2 linked regions of the Oryzias latipes genome follow. The main gene of each other region encodes a partner of the protein of the gene in region 2 in a complex. Links are inferred from orthologs where the notes say so. Each region holds a gene or a part of one and is shown on either strand. Other genes may lie near its edges.

The links.
Region 1: the proteins of ncapd3 (region 2) and ncapg2 are in contact, whole or in part, in a cryo-EM structure (PDB 9F5W), measured with the Homo sapiens proteins. The link is inferred for Oryzias latipes from reciprocal best matches to the Homo sapiens genes NCAPD3 and NCAPG2. Residues at the interface, in NP_056076.1 of Homo sapiens: Glu1213, Lys1216, Ile1217, Pro1218, Leu1220, Gln1247, Ser1250, Glu1251, Tyr1254, Lys1258; in NP_001268861.1 of Homo sapiens: Phe291, Lys332, Pro333, Ile334, Trp336, Lys340, Ala341, Arg342, Arg347.

What each region holds. Positions count from the first base shown.
Region 1 is NC_019878.2:19,845,921-19,848,992, forward strand, and holds the end of ncapg2 (condensin-2 complex subunit G2), read right to left. Parts: coding exon 3,015-3,072; intron 2,256-3,014; coding exon 2,156-2,255; intron 2,044-2,155; coding exon 1,841-2,043; intron 1,762-1,840; coding exon 1,627-1,761; intron 1,535-1,626; coding exon 1,431-1,534; intron 1,354-1,430; coding exon 1,253-1,353; intron 1,155-1,252; coding exon 1,055-1,154; intron 977-1,054; coding exon 925-976; 3' UTR 657-924; downstream 1-656. UniProt on the Homo sapiens protein: Regulatory subunit of the condensin-2 complex, a complex which establishes mitotic chromosome architecture and is involved in physical rigidity of the chromatid axis.
Region 2 is NC_019873.2:3,921,873-3,925,697, reverse strand, and holds part of ncapd3 (condensin-2 complex subunit D3), read right to left. Parts: coding exon 3,785-3,825; intron 2,443-3,784; coding exon 2,370-2,442; intron 2,295-2,369; coding exon 2,169-2,294; intron 1,434-2,168; coding exon 1,181-1,433; intron 30-1,180; coding exon 1-29.

The sequences.
Region 1 (3,072 bases), on a different chromosome or scaffold from region 2:
TGTTTGGACGCACGCGGGGGTCTGCTGCTCGGTCTGGGGGGTCTTAAATTGGCATTTTTTTAAAGGTATGTTGAGGGGTAACAACACCGACGTTGTTTCAGCACCACAAACAGCAACCAGCCTCACAGAGGAGCCCCGCCCAGGTTACTGACGTCAAACAGACACATGAGATGAGGAGAGCGCTCTGAATGGTTTTTACCGGGAGGCGTGAACGCACCACGCCAAAAGAAACCTAAAAAAAAACACCTGATTACTATACTTGTTACAGGCATGACAATGGTGTTGTGAGTTTGCTTTATTTACTGAACAGAGATGTGCACTATCAGCACCTGAAAATTGAATACACCATTTATGGAAAATAAAATATAATTTAGAACATATTTCTAAGCTTTGACCTCCAAAACACTCAAACAAACCTAAATAATCTATAAAATTTGAATCATGTAGTTCATATAAGCATTTTTGCATAATGAGATAAAAAATATTCCTCTATAGGGGTGAAAGCTGTGATAGTTACCCAACAGACACATCTTACTTATATTGATTTATAGTTTGTAATGATTAAAAACTAGATATAAAAACATGCAGTGATGTTTTGATTTACAAGAAAACATGTAAATTAGGATCGTGGAAAAAAACAGACAACAATTCTGTTCATTTAAGTCACCATGTTTTTAAACATTGTCAAAGCTTTTTGCTTTGACAAAATAAGACATGCGCACTGTGAGGAGGGAAGTAAACAGAGAAAAGAAGGAAATACAAAAGCTTTAGTATATATTTAAAAATCCATTTAGAGAAACTGGAACATTATATGCTTGTTTTCCGTCAAGTTCATCCAATATTGTGATTTCTTTGCTTCTAATTACGACACAAATATGAAAAATGAGGAAATAGCTTCCTGTTCACCATGGCAACAAATTGATGTTATAAATGCAGGATCTCATTCAAAGTCTTCACTGAAGATTCATAGATGGCCCTGAAGCAACAAAGGGAGTGAAATTAGTCAAATGAAGAATTACCAGTACGAAAAAGATGCTTTTTTCCTGTTTCTCACCTCTGGATTTCTCCATCGTCTTCATCAGAGATGGCGTATTTGTGGATCTGCTGCTGGATGGATACCGCTGCACTCTTCAGCCCAGCTTCAGAACCTTTGGCTAAAGATGGACAAACACAACATTTATACATATATTTATATAGATTTTCTTTAACATGAGCTTGATTTTAAAATAAATATTCTGGTGACTCAACCCACCCCCCTTGATAACTGCTAAAACACGCAGAACGGCAGCCAGCTCAGAGAGGCTGCTTATGGCTTCAGAGTCCAAAGATGAGCCCACCTCTGTCAGAAATGACCTAAGAGAAGAAAGAAAGCATTTCAGCATCTATGACATGTTTTTCATGAATGTTTTAAAATACTTTTAAGGCCATACTTTGTAATCTGTGGTGACTTCAGAATGACCGACAGCAATGTGCTGGACAAAGGAGGCATCTCATCTACTGACTGTGGGGCGATCACTTCCTCTGGATGAGCAATCTGATAAAAATCCAAATACTAAAAGCTTAGAAGAGGCATTTCTCTCATTAACTTCAATTACACTTTTTTATTTTAGCCGAGTCATCTCAAACCTTTTGGAGAACACGTCTCTTCTCCACAATGATGATGGCAAAAATGGTAGAGAGGACTCCACTGAGAGGTTCTCTGTCCCAGGTTTGTGCCACTTGGAGGAAGTCTCTCATACCCGCGACGACTGACAGACACAGCTGAACCAGGAGACACGAAGAACAGCAACCTCAAAGAAATGTAACGCCTTCACAAAAGAGAGTAAAGAGGACAACATGCCTGTTTTCCCCCCTCTGGATCCTTTCGAAGCCTCTTTGCCAAAACCTCGATTATCTTCTGGAAAATATTGGCCACCACCCCCAGAATGACAGCAGTTGGATCCTCCTTGCTCTCCTGATTCTGGTTGTTGTCCTCGGGTACTTTACTGTTTGCCACCTCCTTTAGAATCAGCAGCACAGCAGGGATGCATCGATAGCCTCCCTCTGCACGCGTGGAAAGAGGTTTTTCTTTTTTCCCATTTTCATCAAAGCACAACGGTTCACCAGATTATATGGAAGAGTTCTGACCCCGAACAGGCACTTTTAAAACCCTCACCTGAGAGGAGGAGGACTGAGCACAGGTGGAGGATTTCACTGTAGAACTTCTCATCGCCCAAATCCACAAGAATAACATCACAACACACGGTTAAGAAGCTCTGGAAAAAATGTACAAATGTTAGACGTTAGAAACACTTTTGATATCAGTCAGACTGGAGAAACAGTGAACTAAGAAATGGCAAAGAATAAGAAATAAAACGGAGAGTTTTGTACATGGTGAGTGGGGACAGAAGCAGAACGAGACAAAATTCACTCAGCAGAACTGCAAGATGTGGAAGGAGGAGGTTAAAAAGACAAAATTCTGTACTAAAAACTGTTTTTATCTGCAGGGGAAATGTGCTGCTCTGAAAGGAAGAAGCCAGAAGTTGTAGGAACAAAAGCATTTGATTGAATCTGCCTGCTGGGAAATCACATCACAGGGTTTGACAATAATCTGCATAAATAACCTTGCTAAAATGCGCCGGCGTTTATCCGCATTTCACTCTTTCTTTATGAAAAGGAGAAAAAAAAAACTGGAGCTGCACGGATTGCAAAAGCCTCCGACTGTCGTAGACGGAAAGCGAACAGGCGTTTATTAAAGCGATAGGCCTCCCGCTGGTGTGATTCTGAGGGGAAAGACATGGCTGCTCGTACGCACACATGACACATTTGCTTATGCGAGCTAAGACCACACCCCTGAGTGACACAAACACAGCCTCATATCTCGTTGTGAGACATTTTCTCCGCTTGACAGATAAAAACACTTGATTCTTGGCAAACAGGCTACATTTTCTGCATTAATCTGGAAAAGATCAACACTAAAATCCCTTCTAAATATTGTCCAGCTGTGTATAAAATTAAGGAAAAGCAGATGTTACCTCAATTATTTGAGCAGCCAGCAACTGTGACTTGTCTGATTCCTCCTGGTTGCTGCCG
Region 2 (3,825 bases):
TTCACTGTCCAGCACCGTCTGAGTCCCAGCTGAAAATAGAAGATAAAAGTCTGCTTTAGTCAATGGATGAAGACAACAAAACAATGATAATGTTATTTAAGTTTGTCCAAGTACTCTGTACAACAAACCACAAACATATGGAAAACCACATGAAAAAAAGCATTGAAAAGGCGCCCAAGTCTGCCTTACAGGTTGAATAGCATTAGGTATAAGATTTTGTAGTGTTGATGAATACTAAACAAACTCCAAATGTTTAAATATCCTTCAATAAATCATTTTATTTAGGGGTGTTGGAAAAAATAGTTTCGCCAATATATCGTAATAACCGTGTTTTACTGTGAAGCACTATGTGATTTTTATTTTGAAAGGAACTGTACAAATAAAGTTTATTATTATTAAAGTTTATTATAATAGTTTATTTGCCCTCTACAACAGTGGTCCCCAACCCCCGGGCCGCGGACCAGTACCGGTCCGTGAGTCATTTGGTACCGGGCCACACAGAAAGAATAAATAACTTGCATTACTGTTACATCAGTCCATGTCATTTTTGACGCATTCCAAGGCGCTATTCTCGGTCACGTGATAAGTATAAGTTACTGGTAAAATAAAACCCAGCAGCTAGTAAAATTAGTAAAAAAACAAACGTCTCTGGAAAGTTTCTTTGCCGAGGGGAAAAGGCCCAGCCAGGAGACGGAAGAGGAGCCTTCCACTTTTAAAAAAGAAAGCTATATTTAATTGACAGTACTTGTTTTTTGCGCCATGAGAGTGTGGGAAAGGGAGAGGATGATGAGACCTGTGCGATGTCAACTGTTAAGCGTGTCAAAATAAAAGCACAGGGCTCGTCTTGTCACGAAACTCACTGCCACGTTGCTGCCAGTATCGTATAAAGCTATCTGGTGGGGGGTTTTTCCCTGTTCAACATCGGGTTACGTATCGTATCGCCAATACACACCCCTAATTTTATTGTCTTACGTCAGTTTCAGGGAACAGTTCAATAAAATTCATGAAAAAATATTTATTATATTCATACTCAATACTTTGCCTCCATTTATTTGAACATTTTTATCTAGATTTAATTCTACGAGGATGAGTCACTGTTAAATTATTTTTGTATTGAAAGCATCAAATGATGTTATTCTAGTTTATGCCCATGGTTATAAGCTTGTAAGTATGCTCTTACTGCCAGAGAAGAGGTTGTGGACGGCCCTGGTGACATTGAGGGAGGGCAGCTCCAAACACTGAGCCAGGCAAGAAAGGGCGTGGCCTTGGACGGTGGGAGAATCATCCATCCTTCGAGCAAACAGCAGATCCTGGATCAAAAACCTCTGTGGCAGAAAGATGGCAAGCTCCGGATCCTGAGATTCCTCCAGCCGCCTCTCTGTCTGCTCCAGCAAAGCCATGACCACGTCCACGGAGAACAGTCGATGGACCATCTGCCGACAGCAGGGCAACAAGTCAGCACTGAGGTTCTAGCGGCAGCTGGTGATGAGACCAGACTAAGAAAAGTCTCACTCCATCATCTTCTGAAGATCATTCCCAGTGGGCTTTGAATTCTGATTATGCCGTTTTTAGCACAAATAAAAAAAAACCTGTGTTTTCTAGGACAGTTACTGCAGTGCAGCAGTAGTTCACAAGAAATTCACCTCCGAGTTTTGGGTGGGACCAATGGCATGGAGAAACTGTACACCCCTTCCCCTCCCCATTGCTGAGAGCTCTCTGTTTACATCAATTCACCAGGGGATGCATCAGAATAGAGAGGAGCTGGGAGCTGTGACCCACTCAGCGTATTTTGTACGTCACAAATATGATATTTTTCATCTGCTCCCGATTCACAACAACTTGATTAAAGAAACACTCAGAAATAGTTCCTGTCAGTCCTAAAATCTTCTGGAAAGGTTTAAATTCTTTTTAAGTGTCAGCCCCCAAAGATCACCTTAAAAATCAGCTGTTTTCCATCTAGTAAAAATAAAAGGCCCCTTTGCAAAAACATATTATGACTATTGAGTTCCAACTGTCAATGTGAAATAGCAGGACACTACATCATGAAGTCTTTCCTGAACTTCATTTAAAATAATAAAACAGTGCTGTAAATACAGAAATGCTAGAGACCAAAGTTTTCCTGCATGGAGCAGAAATATGTCATAATATTTAGCCATTTGTACACTTACCTTTGGTTGTCTGGAGAAATTAAACAGCCATTTAATGAAGCGGCTGTAATCTGCATTTTCCATCTGAGATGTCAGCATTCCCACAGCCTGGGCTCCGTGGCTTCGGTACTCGCTTTTCTCCACCATCTACATGCCGACACAGCAGAATCCTGTGAAAAGAGCTGTTGCCAGCTCAGCTGATCCAACGTCTTCATGACTGACCTGGAAGCAGATGTGCTGCAGCAGAATCTCCAGGAAAGGTTTCGCCAGCTCCCTCTGCTCCTCCACCAAATGACTGGAATCACATTCAACAGTTCAAACGTCAAAGACATCCTGTAGAAATAATAGAAAGGAAGCGCACACACGCTGCTAACTTTGGTGGCGCTGCAAAAGCACACTTCATAGGTTTGTTGATGCCTCTAAATTGTCTGTTGTCTGTGTGTGATGGACTAATAAATGGCCTAAGATGAAGTCCAGCTGCACCTTTCAGGAGATGTGGAAAGGCTCCAGCATCCCTGTGACCCTGAACGGTGCATATAGAAGATGGATGGAAAATACAAAAGAGCTATGAAAACAGGAGAAACAGATAGAGGGAATGGATGCATAGATACGGGTATAAATAAACAGATGAGCATTAGGCTAGCACACTGACTATATGTGAGAACTGGACTGAAACTAGTGTGACGTCACTCATTGAAAATGGTTTACTTCTGGCTCCAACCAAACCAAGTCAATTCATTTGCCATTTCTTGGATGCCACCTCATTGGAACCAGACAACATCCAAGTCGGACTGAGTCCGTGTTCTATGGTGACCACCCTCTCCAATCAGGAGTGAACTTGTTGGAGGGCCACACCCCTACCACGTGAAAGCGGGAGAATCTGTCAACTTACTTTTATTGAAGTATCTGACTGGTCAGTTTATACTCATTCAGACTTGCAAAACAGAAAACAAAAAATCCAAAAATATGCTTAAAAAAAGTATCAGACCAAGAAAGTTAGAATAACCGGAGTAAAAGCAGTTTATTTCTCTATAGAAGTCTATGGGATTTTGGTTTCTTGAAGCCAGCAGGTACTTCCTGTTTGGAATGCTAGGGGGAGGGGGGGGGGGGTCACTCAGTCCAGTTCTCTTATACAGTCAATGGCCTAGAAAGAAAGCGTGAGAGAAGGAAAATAAAACATTGCCAAGGAGGAAGGGAAAAATGCATTCTAGGAGATAAAAATAATGAAGTCAAACTGTGTCTAATAGTTTAGGGTTTCAATTGAGCTGTTGAGTTGATTGTGGTAAAGATCTGGTGTAAAAAATGTTTCACATCTGAAAGAATTTCCTTAAGAAAACTGACGTTTTTTCATTGAGACGCTGCCCTCTAGTGGTCATAGGAATATATTTCAGAATGAAGGTTCAGATTTACAGGACTGTTGCTTGAATGTAAAAAAACAAGAGTATAACTAATGGACATCAGATGACATCACTTTAAATAGATTTATTTTACTCTAACATTTAAGAAACACTTGGTAAATAAAACAATTCCAATACTACTGCAACTATTCCAGGAACCCCATGTCCTACCCACCAGTCACACGCGCACACACCAACCATACTAAAAGCAAAGACAAAGCAAAAATTCAAACCTCTCACCTTACAAACTGAATGGCATAATCCCTGATTGCCAAAACACT